Cricetulus griseus: one gene and its partners. The protein of the gene in region 7 interacts with the protein of the main gene of each other region in a biochemical or structural test. Links are inferred from orthologs where the notes say so. Each region holds a gene or a part of one and is shown on either strand. Other genes may lie near its edges.

Region 1 (4,131 bases), on a different chromosome or scaffold from region 7:
TTCCATTGCATGATGTTGTTTTCAGATGGTGCACCACTGACCCCCACGGGTGGGTCCTCTTGCAATCTAGAAATCCAGAGTGGTCATTTTCAGAGTTAACATAAAGGTCACCAAGGTCAAATTCTACTGAACCTATTCTGAAAGACTGGCTAGATTGACTTTCTTGTTATCGATGGAGCCAGAATGAACCACAACTTAAATGAATCAACCAGGTTAATAAACTTATTAATAGTACAAGTGATCTCTAAGTCCAAAGGGCTAAGAGATCATCCCTCTTCAAACCACAAGATTTAAGATGTGGTCTCTTGAAGACCCATGTTTCCAGACTGCACTCTTAACCCACTGAAGAGTTATAATCTTAGCAGTAAAAAATATGGCTAGACAACCAGCAACTTGTGCTGGGTGGTGATGGCATATGCCTTAGAAAACTATCACTCAGGAGGCAGAGGCAGGTGGATATCTTGTGAGTTGGAGGCCAGCCTGGCCTACATAGTGGGTTCTAGGACAGTCAGAGCTACATAGAGAAACCCTGTCTTGAAAAACAAAAACAAACAAACAAAAAAACAAAGAAAAAGGGAGAACCTGCAAATTTCCTACCTCAACCATGCAAGGATCACCAGTCCTAACCACAGACACTGCACAACACAGAATTGTAGTCAATCTCTGTATACTCTAAATGACTAAAAACCACATTCAATTTAACTAGAAAGCAAGTTTTATTTCGTGCCCTGTGCTTCAGACAGTGGCTTTCTAAAGTAGCCGGAAGCTCCTGCTAGTTTTCCAAGCAGCCAATTTTAAAAGCTGTTCAAAGGCCAAATCTACCTCAGACCAGGACTTCACAGAGCTTCCAACAGACGTCATCATCAAATTCTTGTAACCTGAAGATCCTTGGAAAACTACCAACTTAAAATCAAATAAAAGAATTGCAAAAAAACGAGCAAGAGATAACAATGGATATAACTGGGAAGTTTTATTTGCGTTTCAGTCATGGAGCTAATCAAATAAGGTGACTTCAAGCCCTGGGTGACTTTTGCACCAAAAAAGGGCATCCTTTCCTGTCAGATTAAAAAACAAAAACAAAACCTCTACCTCTCCCTCTCACACACACACACACACACACACACACACACACACACACACACACACACACACACAAATGAAATATGTTATTTTCAGATGGTAGGACACTTGGCAATCAAGTCCACATAAAAAGTGTACTGTTTGGTCACTCTCAAGCAGATTAGGCCGCTGATAGGGTTTACAGGAAGTACTACTTACTGCTTGACTCCCCACTTTTAAGTGGCCAAAAGCATCAACAAATGAATTAAATAATGTCTAGGGTCCAAGACAATGGCTTCTAAATGCTTCACACAGGGCTCTATAATGGCGAAGTTAAGAGGTTACTTCCTGAGCGGCAAATCTAAGTTTCTATATTACAGATTTGTCTCAATCACGGCAAGTCTGCCCCCAAAAGAAAACAAGACTATCTGGACGCTGGACTTCAGGTAGTTTCTGCACTTGTACGTTTCCAAAGAAAGACAAACAATTGGAAGAGGGAAAAGGTCATTTTCTTCCTCCAAGCCCCGTATTTCCCAACAAACCACTATTTTCCAAAAGAACGCCCAGGTGGAGTATCAGATTAGCATCAGGCTGACGGAAGGCATTTTTCCAGGCTAGGGAGGCTATAGATAGGCTTTTATTCGGCAGCCAGATCTCAGTTCCAGAAGGCATTGGCAGCACGAGTGACCATCTCCTGGCCCAGGTTTCCCGAGCCAGTTCTCAAGGTCCTTCCAGGTGGGCGGGGGCAGAATCGGGTTTCGGGGGATGGGCTAACCACCTCCGGCCCTCGCGCAGCAGACCCCACCCTCATCACTGCAGAAAGGGAAGGGACATGGGGCAATATTCACCCTAACCCCAATCCAAACGGGAGGCCGCGGGGCGCTCTAACAAAGCTGGACTGGTCTGCCAAGCGAAGCCCCAGCCTCAAGCGGAGCTCACTCGCACCGGCTGGGGAGGGGACGCCGCAGGGCACAGAGGCAGGAGATGAGGCGGCGACAGCTGGCCTAGGTGGGCCTTGGGGACACCTAGGCCCAGCGATGGCCTTCTTACTTCTTTGGGGGAAGGGCAGGGGGCAGTAGTACCAACCATCTTTACTCAAAAGGAGGTACCAGGCGAGGGAGGAGTGGGAGCCGCCGGTAAACCGGGACTGCCGCGGATGCCGGAGGCCCACAGTCCACCCCCTCAGGGTCAACAGGGGAATAGGTCCCGGATCCCCGCCCTGCAGTCCTACGGATTCGGGAAGGAGCCGTCATATTGGACTAAGGCGAGGGCCCTTACCGCTTGAAATCCCGCATGAGCCTCCTACGGGCCGGGGTCGACATGCTCCGCAGCTGCCCCGCGGTCAGTCTGAAAGAAAAGAGTCCCGTTCGGCCCCCCCACCCCCCGGCGCAGCGGCCGAATCACTGTGGGTCGCCGCCGCCGCCGAGACTGCACAAACAACCCTGCAATGACGTCTCCCTCCGCCGCCTCCAGATCCCTCCGCCCTCCGCCAGTACCACCGCGGGAGGAGGGGGGAAGGGGCGGGGCGAGCGGGCGCGCGCGCGGCACCGGCCGGCGCAAGGGGCCGTCTTCCGGGCCGTCTTCCTGTGGGGAGCTGGGCAGACTCCGCTCCCTGCTCACGCTGGACACCGCAGGGTCAAGGCCGCTGGAGGCCACATGCTACCTCGACTCTCTCCCCCCGTTGCTAGTTTCAGGTTCGGCCGGACGGGGAGAGACGGACGCATCCGGAGCCTGAGATTTCAGGGAGAGGAGGTGGGATGACGTCAGGTCACGTGACCACTGGCGGCGTTGTCAACAATCCACCCCTGAGGGGGAGGGAGCGAAGTATCTAGAACCACGTGTTCCTGTGACGCCATTAGAACAGGTCACGTGACAGCGTCGACTCGCTCTTGGTTTGGGGTCTAAGGAGGCAGGTCGTTGAGTTTCTGGGCTTGACACCTCTAGTTATACCTTGTTCTTTTGGCCCCAAGTATAAGGACTTTGCCTAAGGAGACGTTGTGGAAGGAGCCGCTTGCGTTCTAAGTCTTTAAAACGGAACAAAAAAAAATCTGGATTTAATTCTGTTTCAAGTGACTTAGCAACTCTGGTACGTGGAGCAGGTACTGAAAGGGTCGCGTAGACTTACAATAAACAGCTTTGAATGCTAAGGTCGGCGCAGATGAGATGGGCTCTCGGTCACTGGGACCAGTAGCCTGTTGGTGCTAGTGGGATACGGAGATGAGACTGGAATAGCCCTTAAAGACTGCACAGAACTTTCCTTAGTTGGGATCTGAATCTGCCTGCGTTTGAGGCACAATGTGGAGGTGTGACTTTAGAGCATATCAATGGGCTGCTGGTCGTCAAAGAAACCTTCAAAAATGATTCAGATCGGGGAGAGATCGAGCAGACATGAGTGGGAGGTATTTCTTGAGTCTTAAGATAACTCATTATGGGTTTTGAAATAATTGCAAGGAGAGTGCAAAAGGACAGGAAGAACCCGGTCGTGCAGCAGTTCAAAAGCCTTGACCCTGCAGGCTTCTCCTTTTCCGAGTCACAGAATACCCACCCTCCGTTTCTAGTTCCAGTTTGCTACTCTACGGTACCGAACATTTTAGTAGACGCGGAATTCTTAGCTGTAGAAGGAGGAAAGGAATGAGAATCCACCGCTTCACTCCTGCCTATATTTCCATGAAACCAGGAACGGTTTACGTTTGCCACTGTCTTCAAACTCTGAATTTTCTCTTCATTTAAAGTAACCTTGAGAACCCGATGACTTGGTGCATTCTGCTAATCCCACCGTTCAGGTAGTGGAAAGGATCAGGAGTTTAAAGGTAGCCTCAGTGACAGTGGAATGGTGGCCACCCTGGGCAGCCTGAGGACGTCTCATCTTCCCCGCCCCCACCACCGTAAAGAAAGTAACCTTGAGGATTGTTAGGTAGGTCTAACTCCCCCTAGCCGCTGCTGTGCACTCACAATGCGACTAAGTTAAAGGTTAAGTGTTCTTTTCTCCTTTTTGAGGTGTGCGATAGAACCCCAGGGCCTTACACGGCCCTTTAAATATTTATTGAGCCGGGTATGACATGCTGAGCACAA
Region 2 (4,116 bases), on a different chromosome or scaffold from region 7:
AGGGCATTGACTCTTCCAACCGGAGGCTGCATCTTCATGAGTGACCCATGACATTCTAGAGTTGGAGTAGCTGTCTCCAAATAAAGCCGAGGGCTCTGTTACATCACCTGCAGCTGAGTGAGCCCCCCACCCCCACCCCAGCATCCCTGGGATTTATTTTTATCATATGGAGAGGATTTTTTTTTCCTTCCCCATGGGGTTCATGCTGTGATTCAAAGACATTCAGGTAATTGTGTTTTGTTTCTCTGTTTTAAGACAAAACATGTAGCCCATGCCAGCCTCTCTCTCCAGCTCAGGCTGGCTTTGAACTCCTGATTCTCTTGCCTCAGCTGCACTGGTGCTGGAATCATAGGTGTGTGTCACTGTGGCCAGATGGGGTTTGGATCTTTATACTGTCTGTGTTTTGCAGCCAACATCTTTGCAGCACTCACGGTGTGCCAGACAAAGTTCTAGCCCTTCATCTACACGAATGCCAATAGTCTCCACGATAGCCCAGAAGACTACACATTATCAACAACATTTGCAAGTAAGAACACCACAGACACAGGCCCAGTGCAGTGGTAGTGTATGCATTCAAGGCCAGGAAGTCTAGGCCCAGACTTTGTTTCTTGAGCCTTGGCATGCTGCTACACTTTCTAGGCATCTCCACTTTATCTTGCAGAGTTTTTATTTTGCAGACCAAGGACACAGAAGCATTTAAAGGCAAATAATTTTAAGTTAGGATATAGCAAAATGGTTTGTTTCATTCTGACTATTTTCTATTGCCCTCTACTTAGGGAATGATATTTCACTTGAGGGGAATAACATTTCCTTTGAAAATAAATCCAGCAGCTGGAGATGTAAGCCCGATTGATGGGGTGGGGGTCTAGCGTGTTTGAGCCTCCCGTCTTTATAACTGCATAAAAACTGGCCTGGTGTCGCATTCCTTCAGTTCCAGCACTAGAGAGGTGGACCAGGAGGACCAGAAGTTCATGATCATTCTCAGCTATATAGCAAGTTTAAGGCCAGCTTGGGCTACGTGAGACCCTACCTCAAAAAGGAAAAAAAAAAAATAGGGGGGTTTATAAAATAAATCTAAGTAAAAAGAAGTGACTTGGTGCAAGAAAATTTGTATGTAGGTGACATTAGGGACGGTTACCAATACTGGTCTCGGGGGAAACACGTGATGCTTTTAGGAAGTCTGTCCCAACTGATTTGTTAGGGCTAGTCTGTGGCAAAACGCCTGGCTCCCCTTAGCCGGTCTCTAGCTCTCTTAAAGTGCATGTCCCTCCTTGGTTAGCAGGGGGCGCTAGTACACACCCTTGTTTCCGTAAGGAAGCACCTAGTCTCAAAGCTTCGGACTGGGGCAGGCACAGCTTGCTTTTCCTGACATCTCGCTGGCCCAGACAAGTGTCACAGTCAATCTACCACCTGCCTGTAAAGAGAAAGAGTAGACCAATGTGAGCAGTCCCGGGTACACTCGGAGCAGACTTCGATTTGCAGGTCCTTACCCACCAATGTCCTGCACGTGACCTTCGAGTCCCTGTTCCTAGGGACCCGAGAGGGTGAGCCTGGCAGCCCCTCTAAAAACAGATCCTCCACGCCTGTTGGTGCCGACTCTTCATAACTGGTCAGGCTTTATCTAGGTTCTGAAGGGAGTTGGGCTGGGGCTAGGCGTTGGCTGTGTTTTGTTTTGAACGCACAGAAGAGCAGCTGAGTAGCTGGAAAGCAGAGGAAGGGAAGGGGAGAGCAGCAGCTGACAGCCTCGTGGAGCACGAGGTTTCAGTCCTCAGGAGACCGCTGGAGGAGCGCTCCTCCCCTCTGAAACTTTTAAAAACTATTTTTATGTGTCCATTAAGAAAATGGCTTATTAATTCACTTGCATGCACACACGAGTGCTCGTGTGTTTGTGAAGGTCAGGGAACAGTTCAGGAGACTGTTTCTCTCCTACTGTGTGGGTACCAGGGATGGAGCTGAGGTCATTTCACGTGTTTATTGTGTGTGAGTGTAAGTGTGGCAGTGAAGTTATCTCAGAGATAACCAGTGAGAGAGGGTTCTGTCTTCCTGCCACGTGCATCCTGGTAGCCATCTTTATCCACGGAGTTACCTCACTGGTCCATTGAAGAACTTCTTTCCTTCTTCTTTTTCGTTTCTCTCTCTCTCTCTCTCTCTCTCTCTCTCTCTCTCTCTCTCTCTGTCTGTCTGTCTCTCTCTCTTTCTTTTAAATACGTGGTCTCATATAGTGCAAGACTATCTATCCTTAAACTCACTATATAGCCAAGGATTGCCTTGAACTCTGCCCCCAATTTCCAAGTGCTGGAATTTTAAAGCGTTTGCCACCATGCCCAACTTATGATTCTCAGACTGTTTATTTCACTTTGCAAAAATTTTACTGTAGGCATGGAATTCTTTTCATTGATTGTCTACTATGTACCAGGCACCGAATGGCATTCTCTTCCTTAAGCACGAATGTAGTATGTATGTATGCATGTATTATGTATTGGGGAAGGGTGTTCTACAGTGATCACAGGGAGATCCAAGGGGAGGAGTTGCTTCTCTCCTTCCACCAGGTGGGTCCTGGGGATTGAACTCAGGTCACCAGGCTGAGAGGCAAGCAGCTTTATCTGATGAGCTCACTGTGGGCATTCTCATCAATTCCTCCTCAAGGGCCTCTTTGGAGAACTCTGTCACACTCCATTAGCTGGCCTTTTCTTTGTCTCATTTGAGCCTGCCCAAGGTTTGGGGTGTACGATGAGGAACGCAGTCAGTGGGCGTCTCCACATCGGGAGCTGGAGAAATGTAAAAAGATCGTCAACAAGTAACTGAACACACCGGCCATTTCAAGTCGGCGAGCAAGGAAGACACAACAGAGACAGAGAATAAAGGTTGAGGGAGGCACAGAACTCACACAAAGTGTGGGAAAGTGACGAGTCTGGGGCTGAAGATCCGCCCTTACTCCAGGGATGACAACAGTCAACAGATGTGCAAAGGCCCAGAGACAGGAAGGAAAACATGGAGAAATAAGATGAGGTTGGAGACGTGGGGACACAGTAGTGAAACCCTCGTGACAGGAGTCTTATGAGCTTTATAAATGCCCAGGACACTGTAAAAGTTTAAAGAGGGGAGAGGTCTGAGGCAAGGTATGTTTGTGCATGATTACCCTCGGGTTTTGAGTGAAGAGGAGCTGGCACAGGAACCAGAGTGGGCAAGGAAGAGTTTGTATAAAGACTTATGCTGGCTTCCAGAAAGCATGGTGATTGTGCCAAAGTTGACTGCAGTGGAGCAGAAAAAAAAAAAAAAATAAGGAAAATTCTAGCTACTGTGGAGGTGGCATGGACTGGGTTGTTTGTTTTTTGTTTTGTTTTTTGATGATCTAGAAGGACAGGAGGACACAAAGCACAAAGATAGGAACTGATTCGGGGGTGGGGGTACGTATGACATGTTGTGATGACGGTGTCGATGATGATGTTAAGAACCTCGGAATGGAGGAAGCCATCCCACAAAGCTTCCAGTGTGTTTAATATGATCCTCGATAACAATTAGGTGTGATTTTTCACTCATATCCTCGTGTTAACTTTTATTTATCTTCATTTTATTATTAGCATACACATGTGTGGTGTATGTGTATGTTTGTGTGAGTTTATGTGTACCGTGTGTGCAGGAGCCATGGAAGCCAGAAGGGTATTGGATCCCATGGAAATGAAGGTATAGTGTTAGACCCCCGGAAAACTCAGGCCTCCAGGATCTCAGCCCCGGACCTCGGTCACCCCAATCAGCAGGCAGATTCGAAAGCTTGATGCAAAAAGCATGAGGCTTTATTGTTGTTTAACGAGCTAACCCCATGTTAGCTCGGGTCTTTCACGTACCTGCCATGGCGGATGGCTAGCAAAGACAGCTCGAAGGGGCTGCACAGAGATCTTGTTGGGCAGTGTAAGGGGAGTGTCTAGGGGTACGCACAGGCTCAGGATTGGTGTGCCTCCAGGCTTGGAGGGCTTGCCCTGTGTTGATTGGCCAATTGGTTGTTATGGCCCATAGGCCCTCCCAGGGTGGTTTCTATGCTCTGCACATCATTGCTGTGCACTTGTCTGTAAAGCACACCCAGAGCCGTAAAGCATAGCACCACCAGCTAACTTCTGA
Region 3 (4,117 bases), on a different chromosome or scaffold from region 7:
TGCCTGCTGAGGCCGCTCAGATTGTGGACTGCTGAGCAAGCCCTACAGAGATTATGAAAGCCTGGAGGGGCATGGGAGAAGCAGGGAAGAAACTTGCCAAGAAGAGAAGGGCTTCCTGGTCAAGGAGACTGGTGTCTCCAGGAGGTGAGATGGGATAAAGGATGAGACTGGCGTGTAGGCCTAGTCATATAATCTCCCCAGTCCTTAGGTCCTGTTCTCATGCGGTGTAAGAGACACTATTCTTGGGCTTTCTCAGCATGCTCTGTGGTCAGGGTCTCCAACTGGGCAGGCTCCTTGGAGAGCCCTCAGAAAGCATCCTCCAGGTACCTACCAGAGGTTACCCCCAAAGTTGAGAATTTTAACACAAAGAAGTAGGAGTGGTTTTCTGGACTTGGGAAGGCTTCAACAAAGAGAGGATTATTTGCACCCAGCCTTGAGAAATGACAGTGCACCATCTGACCTTGATCTTGAACCTACTGGGTCTCAAAAAGGAGGTAGGAGTAGGGCAAGGCATTGATGCTAGGATGATCACTGGAGTGGTAGGTGGGGGAACGGATTTCTCACGGTGGGATATGGAGGTCTAAAGACACTTATAAGTGCTGATCCACAGACAAGGACTGAGATGAGCAAGTGGGGAAGTGCACCCTGTCATCTGTCCAAATCAGTAGCCTTCTCAACCTGTGGATCTCCATCCCGTGGGGACAACCAAGTCTTTCGAGGTCACCCAAGACCATCAGAAAACATAGATGTTCACATTACAATTCATAACAGCAGCAAAATTAGAGTTGTGAAGTAGCAAGGAAAAGAATTTTATGGGCGGGGGGTGGGGGGTCACCACATCATAAGGAACTGTATTCAAGGGCTGCGCATTAGGAAGGTTGAGACCCAGTCCAGATGAACACAACCATCACTCCATTGGGGACCCAGGTAGAGTGCAGTGTCAGTAGTTGGGAGTGTCAGGAGCCATCCACACAGGCTTCCAGAAGACAGACCTCTGGGGCCAGAGTTCAGGGGAGGAGACAAAATGGCTATAACAGAATCAGGATGTTAACTATACTTGAAGAGGGTAAGACTGGGAGGGAAGCATCTCCACCCCATGAGCAATCCAGAACTCGGGAAAGAGGCCAGATCTGCCGGCTTATGCTCAGGCATGCACCTCATATCAGGATTGGAGGACTGCAGACTTAAAGCTTTGAGAAGGACTCTGACTGGCCTGACAAGACGGAAGAGGAACAAGAAACATGATGCCTAAGGCCCATTCACCTGGAGCTTCCTGCCCCAAAGTGTAAGTGCCTATCCCCACACACCTCCCTTCACGCCCACCAGCAAGGTCCAAAAAGAGACAAAGCCCTGTGACCGACATAAGGGAGAAGTCAGGCAGCAAAGTGGCTCTCCTCGCACCCTCTCTTTTCCAGATAGGGTCAAGCCTGAACTCCTTTCTGGAGCAGTTAGGAAGAGATCCGAGAAAAACCAGGCCGGTACAAGTGGAGTGAAAACCAGGAAGTTGTCCACTGGCCCAGCAATATTTCCTTCTAGCCCAGGCCTGAGCTGGGGCTCTAATCTCATCCTCCTATAGCACCTTCATCAGTGGCTTCCCCCCCCCCCCGCGGCTTTGTTCCCCCCACTCTCTTAACTTTGGGAGTTCTCCAATACACTGTCTAAACATGGCCGGTCCCTATAGCTCCTGAGTTAGGACTCCAGGGCCAAGAGTGCTTATTGATTAACACCTGTAACTCCAACACCTGGAAGGCTAAATCAGAGTACTGCCAGAAATTCAAGGCCAGCGAGGGCTTAAGAGAGGCCCTGACTGGAGAGAGATCCAGGTCCTTCCTTTTTGGCAGGGCATAAAGGCTTCTCAAAGGTAGGTTTTAGTATACCCACCACTGCCTCAGGGTTGGGCTGCAGGGTCCATGAGACCCTGACCTTGTTGTTTAGAGCTACACCTCTACCTGCCTTTCCCTTTGCCTATTCAAATACAACTGATAAGACAAGACAAACCCAGAAGGCGACCCTGGAAAGATCTAGAACATCAAGTGTCACGCACAGGAACACGAACTTTGAACCAAGGGGCTGAGTATCCTGAAAAGTTCAGAAAATCAAGTTTAGCTCTCGAGGGGTCCGTCCCCAGAACGAGGCCGGATGAGAAGGGGGAAGGGGCTGCTAAGACAAACTCTAGCCAGTCCCACCCCCTAAATCTACGGCTAGGCGGAGGCAGCAGTGTGCCGGCTGGAGCAGAGGAAACGCTTCCTCATTCCAAAGGCTGCGACTCACTCTCGGACGTCGGCGCCCGCCCCCCGCGGCCGCCCAGCTGGGGACACGGAGGCCCAGGGCAGGGGAAGTTTTCTAACACTCCCACGGACCATCCTCCCAGTCCGCGCCTGCTAAACGTTATCCAGCCGGCGGCGGCAGTGCACTGGATCTGACCTCTGCTCTGGGTCTCGGGAGGCTCTTAGGTCCCAGCCACCTCTCCCGGCCAGGGAAGGCTGCAGCGCTGCTAAACCGAAACGGCCACTGGAGCTCTGGCCACCGGAATGCACACGAGAGCCCCGGGCACTTTGCTTTCTCCGCCCGTCTAGATGTCAGTTTGCCGCTCTGCGAAATGGGGTGAGCCAAGAGGAGAAGGAGCTCGCATGAGCGCACTCACCACTACGGCGGTGACAGGCTGGCCCGGGATGTAGGACATTTCGACTCAAATCTGACAAGCCGACAGCGCCCAGCGAGACCCGCAGCGAGAATGCCCGCGGCCGCGCCCTCCCTGGTTAACAAAGGGCAGCCCTGCTCGGCCCGCCCCCTCATGAATATTTAACAAGCCCCCAGCCAATCATCAGCTGCAGCGCTGGTCGGCTTTCGGGAGTCCCAGGACTTGTGTGCCCAAGTGGGGCGGGAGGGGAGCGTGCCCGAGGCGCAAGCGTGGGAGGGCGGGGCGGAGTTTGTGCGCCTGCGCAACCTGAGCCCTCCCAGCAGCCTCCAGCACAAGATGGCGGCGCGGAACGTTCCGCTTTCTGCTGTCTGAGGGAGCACGAGGGACTGTGTGCCGCGGTGTTCCAGGTAACTCGGCGAGCCTGTCGGGCGTGTGCCGATGTGCCGCTGTCCCAGGCCGGCTCGAGCCTCAGCCTGGGCGTCCCGTGGAGGTCAGAGGCCCAGGCGCGGTGTCGGAGGTCCCAGGGGAAGAAGGCGCCGTGCGCCCAACTCGCCGGGCTTCGGGCGCCACTTGTAACTTGGTTTTCTCCGCAGTTCCGCGTTGAGGCCTCGAGAAGGCAGAAGCGGAGCCCCGGCGGGTGCGATGGCCGCGGTGGTGGCCAAACGGGAAGGGCCGCCGTTCATCAGCGAAGCAGCCGTACGAGGCAACGCCGCGGTCCTTGATTACTGCCGGACCTCAGTGTCAGCGCTGTCGGGGGCCACAGCCGGCATCCTCGGCCTCACCGGCCTCTACGGCTTCATCTTCTACCTGCTTGCCTCCGTCCTGCTCTCCCTGCTCCTAATTCTCAAAGCGGGAAGGAGGTGGAACAAATATTTTAAGTCACGAAGACCTCTTTTTACAGGAGGCCTCATCGGGGGCCTCTTCACCTACGTCCTCTTCTGGACGTTCCTCTATGGCATGGTGCACGTCTACTGAAATGAGGGCAGGGGTGACTTAAAAGAAAAAAAAGATTGGCAGGACTCTTGCCAGCAATTAACACCGTGTAGACTTACTTAGTTTTTAAATTGTTTGAATTCGCTGCTTGTTCTGCACTGTTGTAATTTATATCTGAAGATAGTGAGCCTGTAATATTCTTCAGATTAAATGAAGTGTGACACCTTATCGAGTTCTTTTCTACCTTGATGCTTAGCCATGCTTTGAAGTCGCCAAGATTTGCTCCCTGTAGAGCAGGCCCTAGGCCATATAGCCTGTAATTTTCTTGGATTTACACCTAGTAGATCCAAAGGTACCTCTAGAGCTTACGTGAGAGAACGTTAACATCTTAAGGACTGATGACAGTTCGTGTTACTAAGCATTCTCTATGTGCAGGTATCGTGCTGTGTACTTTTTGCATCGGGTATGTTTGAATTCTAGCAATAACTCTATGGAGACATTACTGTTAAACTTCTGCTGATGCCCAGAGAGGTTAGATGTCTG
Region 4 (3,500 bases), on a different chromosome or scaffold from region 7:
TATTGAAAACGGTTTCCCTTGATCCTGAGTCATGCTCTCAATTTGTAGTTTGGCCTTAAATAATTTATTTTTTGTGATTGCTCATTAAAGGGTATATTTGTAACAAGGGTACAGCCTGAAGGACCAGCATCAAAATTACTACAGCCAGGTGATAAAATTATTCAGGTAATTAAATCAACCTTTTTATTATTTTCTTTCATTTTATAATAATTTTATTTTATAGTACTTTCTAATGTTTTAGAATTTTAAATATTTCTGCTTTATACTTGGAAAATCATGCTTATATGTTTGATAGGTCATTTTGTTTTAAATTTTGAAATGTTAATTTTTAATAATTTAGAGGTGAGTTGTCATATCAAATAGTAAAATTTCAAAATCTGAGAAACTACTTTAGTATTTCCACTCCCTAAGTTACATCAGTAACTTACTTTATTTATCTAAGTACATGCAGTGTGGCATTGCCTTAGTACACAAGGATAGTTTACTTCCTCCCTCCTACTTTATTGTTAGTTCCGATAATAGGAAGTAACCTTCAAACCAAAAATGATAGAGCTGTTGAGTAGCTGAAAGTGCAGACCACCTCAGATGGTATCCTTGCTCAGCCCTTCTTAATGTTAACTCAGTGCCTGTTTTCAGCAGTACATACACTTAAGATTGGAGTGATTCAAAGGATGGCATGTGAATTCATGGTGATTTTAAATGTTTTGATTTTTAAATAATTTCAAACTCAGAAAACTATATGACAAAGGTGATCACACTTTGCCACTTTATCTTTAGTATTCACTTTATTGTATAACAGGCTTTCTTTTGGGCCGCCAGCCAGCTTCCAAATCATGACATGAAAACACATGTGCTATATTTCATGAGTGTAGAGGTCCAAGAACACCTTGAAGCTACCAGTTTTCTCCTTCTGGGTTGTTGGTCCCCAGACTCAAATTCAGGGCTTCCAACATGGAGTCAAATGGCCTTATTCTCTGAACCATCTCATCAGCCAGTGGTGTTCTTTTTTCTGACAGGTTGTGAACTGTTTGTCAAAAATTTACAACTAGAAATGCAAATGTATTTCTAAGATTTTTTTTCCCCCTTTCTTCTAGGCTAATGGCTACAGTTTTATCAACATTGAACATGGACAAGCAGTGTCCTTGTTAAAAACTTTCCAGAACACAGTAGAACTCATCATTGTACGAGAAGTTTCTTCATAAGCACTATAGACAAAAAAAAAAAAAAAAAACAAGGAAGATTTATTGAAAGACACTTGCAGGGGAAATGACTATTTTGCTTATTTTTATATATAAAGAAGAACTCAGACAGTTGGCTTGGAACTTGTACATTACTGAAATAATGGAGCTTGTGGTTAGAGGGGAAGAACCACTGTACAGAAGATAAAAGAGACTGTTGAATTCATATATGAAATTTGTTGTTAGGTTTTTAAACTTAGCAAATCAAGGCTACAAAAACAAAATTATGTTGTTTTTGTATAGATTGTAGGTTTATTTTTGGATTTCATACACATGACTGACTGTACGCAAGGCAATAGTTAGCCTTGATTGTAGCCCAGAGACAGATGGCAGAGCTATCTATCTCACAGCTTTTGTGCCCTTATTTTTCTCCAACTGGTATTAATGTTTTTTCTGCCGAACTACTTTTTTCCATGTGGGTAAGAGATTTGAAATGTTGGCTTTTGCTATGTGCATACTGAAGAGTGGCTAGATGAAGTTGGTGCTGGTGGGTTCACTTTCCGAGGCCAGATTAAAACATTATTTCCTATAAAATCTGAGGCTAACAGTGAAAAAAAAAGTTATCTGATAATGTATTTTTATTAATAGAATAATGCAATAAAATACATGACGTCTTTTTAAAAGACAATAATTGCATTTTATGAGCTCTGCAAGATCAATTATTGTCATAGCTGTTGACTATACATTTGCTACTGGTGATTCAATTTTTAATTTTTTTAGTTACTGAAGTTTTTAACTCTAATGTAGATGCATGTCCACACATTTCCCTTACTACAAAGTTCCCTGATATTTTTTCTTTAGCAAATGGTGGTACTTGCAATCTAATTTTTATAATTAGTTTCCATCATAATCTAATTTATAATTTTTTTAAGAAGCAAATGAAACTAAAAGGCCAGTTTTAAGATTGTATATGTTGCCTGTAATACAAAGTTTCAGAAGGTTTAGGAAAGCCTCTTGATTTTGTTCGGCCTGGCATTGCCTTTGTAAAGTGAAAGGAAACGTGGAGTGCGCATGGAGCTAGGAAACCAAAGCAAGTCTGTGAGACTGGCACAGTGATAGAGAATTGCTGTGGAGTTATAGAGCAAAGGGATGGTCCTCGAGGCCTACCAGTGTGTTAAGTGTGCAGATAAAGGGCTGTTCCTACAGATACATTCAATGTGAACTCCACACTTCAGAGTCGTTAAAGGGTTTCTAAATGTGTCGGTGTAATAGTGTTTTACCACCAATTGCCTTTGTTCCCAGTTACTGTAACAAATATTTGATGATGGAAGTTATTAATTTTGTTTATATCCAGATCATTAATTTTATTTGCTTTTGATGTATGTAATCAAATAAAATTTGAATGACATGCAGGGGTAAGAAGTAATGCATGGTTATTTGGACCAGAGGAAAGTGCCATAGAAGACCAGCAACTGTTTTTAGTTGAAGCTAGTCTGGAAACTTTTGTTAGAACAATATTCTGTTCCTGAATTCATTTTTTAATTTCTGAGATGCATAATTTGGGTATTTCTAATGTATTATGCTTTTTTCTTAAACCTTGACTTAGTTGAGATCTTTAGAGGACTAGCTCAAACACCACCTGCATTATTTTTACAAAATGAGTTGGAAACATTTCCATTCCTAGTCAGAATAGTCAGCACTTTTAAAAATATCTGAGCTCAAATATTGCACTCCTTTCAAGTTGTTATAAATTGGGTATTGTACTGTATAGTTTTAATAATCTTGATTGAAACCCTTTAACAACTCTTTGTAAATTTTAACTCATTTTAGTTGGTTTTTCAGTACTATTTACATAGGAATTGATTTTTATGAATATAGTAGAAGAAATGTGCTGTATTTTGATAAAATTCACTTGTATGTGTTGTAATCTCTAAAACAAAGAATGACAGCTTCTTTAATATGTCTCAGTGTTCCCTTTATTGACTTCACATTTTCACAGTCACTTTTAATTAAGCATAATTAAAGTAAATATAATTACATATTTCTCAATGATCTTACCTTAAACCAGAATTGTTGATTATAATTTTGCAAAAGGAATTAAGGGTACAGATGTTATATGCACTATTATTTTAGTCCACTGTGGTTCCTTTTAATTTTGGTATATTCTTGAAAGCTAGATAAGAAAGTTTTTTGCCAAAGTTTGAAATAACATACAATGTAGAGTAAAAGTAAAAAAAAAAAAATTTAAATCGTAAAATTTTGTACTTAAACTAATACCCAAAGTTTTCTTACAGAATATAGGGGGTGGATCGAGACTTAGAA
Region 5 (3,500 bases), on a different chromosome or scaffold from region 7:
CTTAGCCATAAAAAAAGCATCTTTAATATTTGATTTTTCCTGTAATGTAGTGATCTTTCTGAGTTGCATTTTTAAACTAGGATGGTCAGAAGCTATGAAAATCGGCAAGTGCCAACTTTAATGATGAGCTAACAATTTCTTCCTCTGCAAGGACTCAAATATTTCTCTCTGTAAGCATGCAACATGCTATTGGAAACATCTTCAAGCTAAACCGAACTGTTTCATGACTGGAAATATCAGAATGGGAATGATAAAACAGACATGATACAATAGGTAACTTGGCACGAATACAAAGTGAGTTGTAACCATACTGCTAAGATCATGTCATTGCTGAGCGGGCAGCCTGAGCAGGGCATGGCAGATGAGCCCATGGCTGCAGCTCCTTCCTGAATGTGAAGAAGGGCAGCCAGCCAGGGCCAGGTGGGTCTTAGGAATCCCAGAAGACTTTCATGCAGTCTGTCTAACTTGATGCTTCAATTAGGTATTGAAGACTATCTGGACACCTTTCCCCTTAAAAGAATGCTGTGTTTGAGTAAAAAATTACAACTTAATTTTCTTTGTATTATACAAAAGGTCATAGCTGTTTGTCAGCCATGCCAGCAGGGCCTATGATTTTATTTGCACGTGGCACTCTCCAGGGCCCTGGAGTGATGGGAGCTTTTTTGACTGGAGAGCTGTTTTCAGGTATGCCCCCTGCACGCTCCTTGCATCTGTCAGTGGCCTCTGGCTCTTTCCCTTTGTGATCTTCTGCTTTACCTAACGTCATCTTCTCTTCAGGTTCCTGCTTGAGCTTCTTTGCTGAGATCTGGACATTTTCTCCTGTGGTTGGCTTCTTTCCTTTTTCCTTCTCAGACACCGCCCTACTAGCAGTGTTGCTGATCTTTTTGGATGGAAGAGATGTTTCATCAACTTTATTGCTCTTTTTCTCTGGAGACCTTGTTCTGGTTTTTCCAAGTTGACTCTGCTTCAGATCTTTCCTGACAACACCCGATTTTTCTTTCCCATCTGGGAGCTGTTCAGTACTGTCACTAGTATGGCCTGCTGCCCTTTGGCTTTCAGTGTTTGACGGGCCAGTGCCTACAATCTTTTGCTGATTCTTGGGACTAGAAGATCGTCCTCTGCCTTTTCTGCAGGGATCTTGTCCAGAACCCGCCTTAGTGGTGATCTGACCTTTAGTCTCTCCTTTCCTAGGGCTGAGTGACCGATCTCTAGATTTTCCTTTGGGGTCACTTTTTAGGGGCCTGGGAATCTTTTCCAAATGTTCCTCTGAATGTTGATTAGCTGACTTTTTGGGACTAGCAGATCTCTCTCTTCGTGTGACACCATTTTCTCCTTTTAGTAGATTCTTCTCACCATGCCTTTGACTACTGGGTGGATCCTTCTTACTCACATTTTTCTGGAGAACGGTCTGATGCTTCATTTCAGGCTGGCTTCCACTGAAAGTGCTTTTCTTTTCTGGTACAGTGTCCTTTAGTTCTTCTGCCTTTTCACATATCTGAACTCTAATCAGAGAGTCTTCAGTTACTGGCATGTGAGACTCTTCAAATACGGAAGCAGAATGTGAAGATGGGAGAAGTGGTGGCTGTTCATCATAAATGACATTGGAAGATGAAGGACTATTAATATCCCAATCACCTAAAAAGTGATTGAGTAGAACACAGTTACACTCAAGAATTATGAATAGGAACAGTGAGTTTTGAACTTTGACAGCCATTTGAATATGTTACAGGTTGCATAGCCCAAGGAGGAATATGTTACATAACTTGTATATATTTAAGTCACTTTCTGTAAAGGCAGATGCTTATAGATATCTGCTTATGTATGAAGGGTAGATTGTTATAATAATTGTTTCACTTATGTACTGTTAGAGGTGATATATGAGCTGTAAATTATTCATAAAGCCAAATAAGATAGAAATAATAAAATTGGACCAAAGTACCTGGTCCAAGAAACTTACTAATTAATCTATTATTACTGTTTAACTTAAGGATATGCCAAAATCACTAGTGAAAAAAGACCAGACTGTGGTAACCCAAATGAGGTTTATGGGCACTGTAAATAATTTTCTTGTTAGGCTGTCAAATTTAATGTCAAAAGAAGACTGAAAAAGTGCAGAAGACAGAAGTAGATGTATTTAATAGCATCATTTTAATTAAAAAGAAAATGAAAGAAGTGATTTAAAAGACATGCAAATTTACCAAGTCTTTTTAAGGAAAGACCAAGAAAAGCCCTGAAAGCCTTAATGTTGCTCAGGCTTCACGTAGGAGCACAGACCGGAAGGAGCCAAACCTGAAGAAGGAAGAGAAAAAGCCTAGGACTATGTGAAAACAAACCAGCACAGTTAGCACAGATGTCATGGGAATGTGTGCTGTATGAGCAGATGGTGAAAGGTAACACAGCCAGAGAATCATAGCTGGAAGGGACCATAGGAGGTTATGTCTACATTTACTCTACAACAGCTCTGATGGGGAGCTATGCAGGGAGACACATATAAAACAGGTGTGGTACTGCCTTTAGTTCGGATCATGCATTCCCAAAGTGATTTTTAAAACACTGACAGTTCAAAATATATAATAAAGCCAAGGGCATTTACCATCAATACAGGAGTACAAACATGATCTTAGATTTAACTCCCTATCTCCAGGTAGTAGGGCTACAGCAACTTATTTTGATAAGTGACTAGAAAATCCTAAAGTTCTGGCATTCACTCATTGAGATAAGCTTACTTTAAGAAAATAATATTTATTGGCAAAGTGTAATTAGCAAAGGAGAAAAAAGCTGGGTTATTCTAAAGACATTTGTTTGTCTCTAATGTTCTCATATTTTATAGGCACATTTCTCTCCAAAAAGCACTATTTCAGATGAAATAAAGGTAACAAATGCTCTACTGCAACAATTATACTATTTGGAAACATCATTTGCATTATAGTAACTTTCTTAGGTGTTTCTGGTGTTCATTTCTAAATTAGCCAATAAAATGTCCATCTCTTCCAAAGGGGTATTCCCTTTCCTTCTGCCATCCCCTCCCCAGCAAGAATGCTTAGCTACTTTACTTACCATGGTCAGGTATCAAGCCAGTTCCTGGCCTCAACAGGAGTAGGACTTTATTTCCACCAGCCTGAATGAGCTCAATTGCTCGAGTATGTGTGATGCCTTGTGTAGGTTCCCCATTGATTTCCACAATCTGGTCACCAACCTGGACAAGAAACATTTACAACTGTATGAAACAGCAGGATTTTTCATTTCTACATTGTCAACAGAGCCCTTCAATTCTGCTAACTCACTCTTACTTGTAAAATCTTTAACCTGGACAGATAGCTAATAGGTGGACAGATGACAGCAATAAGGAGAGACAATGCATGATTTTATTTACTTTATAAAAATTCTACGTGGGAAAGTTTTATGTGGCTACCAGTCAGTATCTGAGCCTTAATCAAGAATCAAATTCTGATTTTCCCACATGTGTGAGGCCCTGAGACTGATTTCTAGTAAGGCAAAAG
Region 6 (3,500 bases), on a different chromosome or scaffold from region 7:
CACTTGGGGTAGAACTGGGACCACTGAAAGGGCTGAGTTAACAGTATGTTGAAAATTGCTATAAAACCCCTGGGAATCCCAATCCTGGCTTCTGGTGGGTATGGAGGTTGCTGATAGCCTTCTGAATCAGGAAGAGCAGAGGTCTTGGGTCCCCAGCTCTGCCATCCACATGGGCTGACACCAGGAGGGCTGACAGGCTCCCATGTCACTCAGGTATCAGTAACCTTACTACTGGAGTTTTTGAGCTGGCTGACAAGGAGTGAGAGAGAGGTCTGCGGCTAGAAAAGAGGGCCAGTCCTGATGCTATCCAACCCTGATGTGCCCCAAATAAGAGCAGAAAGCAGCAGCCATGGCTGAGGGAAGTAGGGTGAAGGGGAAGAGAAAAGAGCAGTGGAACAGAAAACCAAATTGCATGCTGGGCAAGTATGCCCTATGGCTGCAGCTTCTCCTCTCACCTGTAGCTCCCCTTCTTGGTTAGCAGCTCCTTGAACTGGCCCAGCGTGACAGCACGGCCCCTCACCAGGGTCCGGTAGGGGATGGGTTCCCCACAGAAATAGTAGGCCACAACAATGCTGTCACATGGGGGTGCACTCCCGCCACCTGCCTTTCTCTGTGATTTTGTCCTGGGACAGAAACAGAGTGGTAAGTAGTGGGCTCAGGCCAAGGTCACACAGAGTACCTCAAAGGTACCATCTACCAATAGAGGACAAGACATCCCAGGGTCAGCATCTCACTCAGCAATGTGGTGTTCACAGGCCCAGCCACCCACCTACCCAAAATCTGGGTGCCAGTCCTGTGTAAACCACTCACTAGAAAATAAGCTAGAGGTCTAGCTCTAAAAGAAGCACTTCACCATCCAGACCACGTAAAGTGGACACAGATACCCACAATAACCAGACCAGGCCTTCGGCTCACAAAGTCCTATCTCCAAAGTTGTAAGGGGGCTGGTCTCAAAACACTGACAAGTCCCAACCTCTCCAAACTTCCATAAGTCTTGAGGAGGGACCAATCAGAGCTGCACAGATCTGGAAAGGAAGTGTCCCTAGGACCAGGATTTCCAAAGCAGATTGGAGGCCTGAGCTGTTTCTTACTCAGGTCCTCAAAGGGCTGTGTAGCTGCTCTGAGTCTGCTCCTGTATTCCTGTACTTTTTAATCACTCCAGAAGCTTCCATAGCTGGCCTCAACCATGGCCACATGGCTGCTTTTTCTTGGCCAAGTAAAATACACGGGGCATTCTGGATGTGTAATTTTCCAGGTTTTCAGACCTTCTTCCAGCAATGGGCTTTTGAAGCTTTCTGGCGGTTAAACCTGGGGAGACCTACTTCTCCAGAACAACTGGAGGGCCATCTGCAGAGGCCCCAAGGCCCAAGGGGGATCCTCATCTTCCTGTCTTGAGTAAGAGCAGGAAGGGCATAGTCAGAAATGCCCCTGACCTAAATGTGGCTATGGCAGGCGGAGGTGCAGAGCCTAAGTCCTGGCTGTAGTCACACCATCCAGATGCTACTATAAAGTTGCCGCAAGTTCCTAGTGCTATTTCAAGGGGACTAGAAATGTGGACCTGATCCTGTGTAGAATGGTAGTGGACCCACCAGTCCCCAGAGCTAGCTCAGAAGCTCAGGAGAATAAAGATGAGATGAAAGGCAAGCTGTGATGCCTGCATGAACCACTTATAGGCCTACTGATCATGTCTACACTGAACAGGCATGATCTCCTCTATTGGGAGACATGAGAGAGAAGCCACAGCAGGCCTTTCTCCAGCCCTGATGCTTCCTAGCTCAGTGACAAAGCCTATCAAATAGGTGCTCCACTTTGGGATTTGGCCTGGGCTGGGCAGAACCAGGAGGACCCACAGGGCGCACGTACTCTGTCTCGGAGAGTTCCAAGTCCGACACGGCTGGTACCACACTCAGCACCGGTGCACATGCTGGCCTGACACAGGTGCGTCCCCGCTGCATGACTGCCTGCACATACCTAGGGAACAACCCGCATCAAAGAAGATGGGGCTCAGCCAGTGTTGTGGACAGTGTGCCCAGATAGGGTGAGCAGCAGGAACTAGCTGCCAACAACTCCCACTCACATATCATCAGAGGCCCTGCCCTAAGTGTCTAGACACAGGGTCAATGCCAGTCTGCTCTTTGGAATACACCCTGGAGAACGGCTGGTCTTGGTGCTACAGGCTCTCTTCACCTCCTGCTCAGATGACTTCTCCAGCTAGAGGTTCTTGGAGAAGGCCTTCCAAGACACCTCCCAGGAATGTGGCTCTTTCTACACAGATTCATCATGACCTCCTGAAGATGATGTGGATACTAGACATGGACAGAAGCAGTGACACTGTTTCTTGGGGAGCTGCTGCCAGCATGACAGAGCCTTTCCAAGAGAACCCTCTACCTGGGTATGCCACTATTGTCCCTAATAGTGACTTTATCTGATATAGTTTAACAGGGCCTGCCAAGGCCTGGGCCTTTCACTGCATACATCTAGACTTGCTTATAAAGTTCCAGACAAATAGACTCAATACATTCAATTTCTTCACACATGAAGATTTTGGAGGCACCAGCTAAGACGTGGTGTGTGTGTGTGTGTGTGTGGGGGCACCAGCTAAGACGTGGTGTGTGTGTGTGTGTGTGTGTTGATGGTATGGGGTGTATGTGTGTGGTGATGGTATTCTCATACCCCAAAACACAAACAAGAAGGGTTTAGCTGATGCTACAGGCCAGGAGAAAACCACAGCTGTTGCCATATGGGGTTTGCCAGGTAATGGTAGGATGAACAGATGCAACCTCTGCATCACAAGAGAATCCTAACTCCCAAAATACCCTACTCCACAAAATAATCCTGCATCCTAGGAACACTGGCTTCTGAGCACACCCTGCCCAGGCCTCTGAGGGCATCATTCCTAGAAGATCCCACATGACACCCTACTCCACTGACTCAGACCCTTGCCAGATACATGCAATGTGTCAGCACCAGAAGGAACACTTCCTGCACAGAACAGGTAGCACAAGTGTATACCATAGCTTACAACAGGTGGCAAAGTGGTCCCTTGTATTTAAGGCAGCTGTGACTTCTTTTGGAGCTCAGAGCCTGGTGTGGGTCCAGGAGACTTTAAGTGACCAGGAAGATGTCTAAGCTCCTGGGGCAATTACAGCCTGACTCTATTAGAGACCATAAGTGCAGAGTCTGCCAGTCAAGAGTTGTAGCATCCCAGGGAAAGAGGACTCTTAGAAGTGAGGTCAGACCCCAGAATGTACACAACCCAAGCTGAATAAAGGAGGTGATAGTTTCAAAGGGCAATAATGGCCTTTGTGTGACCATGGTTCCAGGGACTGGGTAAGAAACAGATCCTAAGCCCTCATGGAGACTATTACCCACTTGGGAATTCCAATAAGCCAGAATGTCCAGGCAAGTGATTCAAAGCCAAAATAAAAGGGTCAGAGAAGGCCTTTTCTGCCTCCAAGAATACTGCTTCCTAAAGAGAGGTCTTTTGAGTTTGGGCAAGG
Region 7 (3,500 bases):
GAAGACGTACAACTAGTGTCATACAACTCCAGAAATGCTGGAGAGGAACCCATCAGCAAGTTACTGTGTCACATCAAAGTGTATCTCTGGACCTCTCTGACGCAAGGTCTCAAACTGGGGGGTCCTAGGTATGTGACTTCTATACTACAGTATTCTGCTCAAGTCCAGGCATGCCAACACTTTCAAGAATACATCAACTTGGGCTGGAGAGATGGCTCAGTAGTTAAGAGCACTACTTGTGCACTACTTACTAACCCGGACTCAATCAATTCCCAGCATCCCCAACTGTCTCTTAAGTCCAGTTCCAGTGTATCGGACATACCACCCCCGACCAAGACACACATGCAGGCAAAACATCAATGCACGTAAACTAATAAGAAATAAACCATTAGAGGAAAAAAAAAAAAAAAAAAAAAACACCAACTCTGGCCATCTCCCCAAATGGAACATAAAGAAAAAGAATATGAAAAGCAACCATGTTTGCCTGTAGTAGTGAAAGTTGTCAGAACTGCCAGTTGAAAATGGGCACTAAGAGCCCATAGCCTCTGCCCTTGACCTTCTGAAAACACTGCAGAAAACATTTCCACAAGCAGATCTATTTCATACCTATGCTCAAAGTTACATCACCTGGTCTTTGGTATGCCCTACAAGCCTCACAAGGTCTACCCAGACTATGTGTTTACAGCCTTACCCCAAAACTTTCTCAAGCACTATACTCTGAAAGCCCCACCCACACCACCCTCCTTCCCCTTCAGGGCTTCCCTACATGCCTTCCTCTCTCTCACCTGCCTCCACCTACTATAAACACCTCACTGCCTCTCAAGCATCTCCACAAGGCCCTCAGAACAATGTTTCTTCTGTGTACTGAACCCCTTCCTTCTAGTCAGATTGGCAATTATCTCAAGGGTAAAGACTCTGGAGGCCTTTTCGTGTCCACTCAGTGCGATGCACAGCACGGTGCACACAGACACTCAATGTTGAGAGGACAGAGTGCAGCTCCTCTAGGGTGCACACAAAGGGCAGGTCAGTGAGTCTGGAGCCTGTGGAGCCTCTGTGCCCCATGCTAACAGCTTTCATGACTTTACCTTGCTCTCTTGATTGCCATAAGCTAAGATCTGCAGGCAGTCTGTTGTAATAGCCAAGAATTTCACGTTTGTTTTGTTGAGCAAAGCAACCATTTTTTGCAGTCCACCGGCTAGGCGCACCGCCATTTTAGCTCCTTCCTGATGTAGCAGGAGGTTGTGCAGCGTCGTGATGGCATAGAACAGAACAGAATCCACTGGTGACCTGAGAAGAAAGAAAAGAACCTTTGTCAAGCCAATACTGGCACCCTTCTTCTTCCCACCTTTCTGGTTATGTGACCGACCACTTTCTTACCCAAGCATTTTCACCAGAGCAGGAATGCCTCCAGATTTAAAGATGGCCAGCAAGCCCTCACGGTGGTGAGAAAGGTTGTGTAAGGTCCCAGCAGTACAACGAGCTGTTTCTACATCATTTGTGTTCTGCATGGTGCGTACAATAGCAGACACCATCTGAGGAGAGCGCATGATGGCATGTCTGGAAGCTTCCTTTTTGGAAAGCTGATGAACCATAACAGCAGCTTTATTAACTACCACCTAGAGTACAGGGGGTGAAGAAGCACCATTAGTTTCCAAATACTGACATCGAACAGCCATCGTCACCCTCTCAGTTTCCCTCAAAGTAAACGGGAAGCAAGCTGTGTAACTGCTTACCTGGTCCTCATCATTTAGCAGTTTTGTCAGCTCGGGAATTGCACGTGTGGCAAGTTCCGCGTCATCCTGATAGTTAATCAAATTAACAACGGCATGCTTCAGCATCTGGGATGGCTCAGCCAGGCGCTGGACGTTGGTGGGATGAGCCGCGTCAAACTGTGTGGACGGGATCTGCATACCCTCATCTAGGGTCTCAGGGAACATGGCAGCTCGCACCCTCTGAGCCCGAGTCATGGCGTACTGTCCGTCAATATCTGGGAAAGGAAAATCCATGTGAGACTTCACTGTCCTAAGTGCTAAGTAACAATGCACCCGACTTTCCTCTGCTTTTCACTTGTGCCTGTGTGTCTCTGCCACCACACACCCTTGCTAAGAAACCCAACTCTAGCTTTTAAACACACAAATGCTTTTTACCCGCCACTTGCTCTTGAGTGAAGGACTGGGAAAAACCTTGCTCCCACTCATACAGGACTTGGGAGGTGTCCACATCTTCTTCCTCAGGGTTGCCCTTGCCACTCAGAGAAGGAGCTGTGGTGGTGGCACCAGAATGGATTCCAGAATCCAAGTATGACTGCTGCTGCCAGTGACTAACAGCAGCTTTTCTGTCCGGCTCCATGGCCATGTCCAACTCCATTAGATCAGCTGTAAAAACAAAACAATTTAGTGCACTGAAAATGATACCTGAATAAAATATCCATGACAATGACCCATTGAAATACATTTAGAAACGTATTTCAGCAACCAAGGAGATCAGAATGATAGCCAGTGTGTGCTCCATGGTAGAACAGGGGCAACCCAGTGGCATTCAAGTTCCAGAATCACTCAAGCTAGACTCCCACGGGTAGCTTGCTGATTATTTCACCAAGCTGGTAGTAGTAAGCAGAACAGCAACAGGTAGGCTGGCAAACCAAAGCCGGCAGGGGCAAGAGAGCAGCAGGGACTCTAAGGCAGCATACAGAAGCCACAAGCAGCTCCCCGGGGCACAGACCTTGAGTAGCCATCGTCCACGCACGAGTGTGGTGTCACAGCTGCTGTACACTAAGCTTCAGATAATCCTGAAAAGAAAAATCAATTCATTAAAATTTAAGCAGATGCCTGCCACATGTGTTATATGTCCCACCAACACAAACCAAAAGCATGAGATACACTGAAAACACAGACCCTGAAACACAGCTCCACCATCACTGACCTTCTGAGTGAAGGCCATGTCTCAGCAGACACACAGGTGCTGAGAGAGAACAACTCCTTTGCTCTCCCATGAAAGCCAGCAAAAGGAACAATATTCAAATTTCAACTGCTCTGTGAATTCCTGAAGGCTAAAGACACTCAGACTGGGCTGGCCATGGAGACAGTGGAGTTTTTAAAAAACACCAAATTTTTATAAAACAAATCAGTTGTTTTTGCTGATATAACACTGATCAGAATGGCGATTTAAGAAGCAAAATTACTTGTCAAGTCAAAGTCTGAAGCACAAATAGAAATACATTTATCAAAAGATTTGTATGAGTTCAAGCAGTGATGTACACACCATGGCAACTGGTGCAGTTGCCCCTAGGATCAACAACAGAATGTAACATTTCTCACAGGTAAATTTTAGTCTAAGTAATGTCTGCATTTTAGTTTTACTGTACAATATTGAAGAAAAATATCAAATCACTAAGAACCAGATGGAAGCTTGGGGTTCGTGGTCTCTAGGTACTGTATGAACAGATTTCCATTATTAATGTGTGTCCCAAGCAGGGTCATCTTGCACTACAGCTAACACAA

What was found.
Region 1: of the proteins of Ctnnb1 (region 7) and Ube2b, one has a biochemical effect on the other in vitro, tested with the Homo sapiens proteins (2 studies listed by BioGRID, with this or other methods). The link is inferred for Cricetulus griseus from reciprocal best matches to the Homo sapiens genes CTNNB1 and UBE2B.
Region 2: the proteins of Ctnnb1 (region 7) and Hnf4a form a complex in vitro, tested with the Homo sapiens proteins (2 studies listed by BioGRID). The link is inferred for Cricetulus griseus from reciprocal best matches to the Homo sapiens genes CTNNB1 and HNF4A.
Region 3: the proteins of Ctnnb1 (region 7) and Tax1bp3 are reported together in a solved structure, tested with the Homo sapiens proteins (2 studies listed by BioGRID and IntAct, with this or other methods). The link is inferred for Cricetulus griseus from reciprocal best matches to the Homo sapiens genes CTNNB1 and TAX1BP3.
Region 4: the proteins of Ctnnb1 (region 7) and Erbin interact in a test that uses a peptide from one of them, tested with the Homo sapiens proteins (2 studies listed by BioGRID and IntAct). The link is inferred for Cricetulus griseus from reciprocal best matches to the Homo sapiens genes CTNNB1 and ERBIN.
Region 5: the proteins of Ctnnb1 (region 7) and Magi3 form a complex in vitro, tested with the Homo sapiens proteins (2 studies listed by BioGRID and IntAct, with this or other methods). The link is inferred for Cricetulus griseus from reciprocal best matches to the Homo sapiens genes CTNNB1 and MAGI3.
Region 6: the proteins of Ctnnb1 (region 7) and Axin1 form a complex in vitro, tested with the Homo sapiens proteins (2 studies listed by BioGRID). The link is inferred for Cricetulus griseus from reciprocal best matches to the Homo sapiens genes CTNNB1 and AXIN1.

What each region holds. Positions count from the first base shown.
Region 1 is NC_048600.1:66,264,708-66,268,838, forward strand, and holds the start of Ube2b (ubiquitin-conjugating enzyme E2 B), read right to left. Parts: upstream 2,801-4,131; 5' UTR 2,723-2,800; intron 2,407-2,722; 5' UTR 2,382-2,406; coding exon 2,338-2,381; intron 67-2,337; coding exon 1-66. UniProt on the Homo sapiens protein: E2 ubiquitin-conjugating enzyme that accepts ubiquitin from the ubiquitin-activating enzyme E1 and transfers it to a E3 ubiquitin-protein ligase. In vitro catalyzes 'Lys-11'-, as well as 'Lys-48'- and 'Lys-63'-linked polyubiquitination.
Region 2 is NC_048599.1:15,981,617-15,985,732, reverse strand, and holds the start of Hnf4a (hepatocyte nuclear factor 4-alpha), read left to right. Parts: upstream 1-1,316; 5' UTR 1,317-1,482; exon of another isoform or gene 1,483-1,544; intron 1,545-4,116. UniProt on the Homo sapiens protein: Transcriptional regulator which controls the expression of hepatic genes during the transition of endodermal cells to hepatic progenitor cells, facilitating the recruitment of RNA pol II to the promoters of target genes. Activates the transcription of CYP2C38.
Region 3 is NC_048600.1:86,945,780-86,949,896, reverse strand, and holds the start of Tax1bp3 (tax1-binding protein 3), read right to left. Parts: upstream 2,801-4,117; 5' UTR 2,684-2,800; coding exon 2,645-2,683; intron 1-2,644. Other genes in the region: Emc6 (ER membrane protein complex subunit 6), read left to right, coding at 3,284-3,616. UniProt on the Homo sapiens protein: May regulate a number of protein-protein interactions by competing for PDZ domain binding sites. Binds CTNNB1 and may thereby act as an inhibitor of the Wnt signaling pathway. Competes with LIN7A for KCNJ4 binding, and thereby promotes KCNJ4 internalization.
Region 4 is NC_048595.1:322,068,691-322,072,190, reverse strand, and holds the end of Erbin (erbin), read left to right. Parts: intron 1-90; coding exon 91-165; intron 166-1,094; coding exon 1,095-1,202; 3' UTR 1,203-3,136; downstream 3,137-3,500. UniProt on the Homo sapiens protein: Acts as an adapter for the receptor ERBB2, in epithelia. By binding the unphosphorylated 'Tyr-1248' of receptor ERBB2, it may contribute to stabilize this unphosphorylated state.
Region 5 is NW_023276806.1:52,925,966-52,929,465, reverse strand, and holds part of Magi3 (membrane-associated guanylate kinase, WW and PDZ domain-containing protein 3), read right to left. Parts: intron 3,197-3,500; coding exon 3,058-3,196; intron 2,290-3,057; coding exon of another isoform or gene 2,240-2,289; exon of another isoform or gene 2,199-2,239; intron 1,636-2,198; coding exon 575-1,635; 3' UTR 1-574.
Region 6 is NC_048600.1:45,818,566-45,822,065, reverse strand, and holds part of Axin1 (axin-1), read right to left. Parts: intron 1,972-3,500; coding exon 1,864-1,971; intron 624-1,863; coding exon 456-623; intron 1-455. UniProt on the Homo sapiens protein: Component of the beta-catenin destruction complex required for regulating CTNNB1 levels through phosphorylation and ubiquitination, and modulating Wnt-signaling.
Region 7 is NC_048597.1:228,008,207-228,011,706, reverse strand, and holds part of Ctnnb1 (catenin beta-1), read right to left. Parts: intron 2,789-3,500; 5' UTR 2,735-2,788; coding exon 2,722-2,734; intron 2,376-2,721; coding exon 2,148-2,375; intron 1,988-2,147; coding exon 1,734-1,987; intron 1,617-1,733; coding exon 1,378-1,616; intron 1,288-1,377; coding exon 1,086-1,287; intron 1-1,085. UniProt on the Homo sapiens protein: Key downstream component of the canonical Wnt signaling pathway.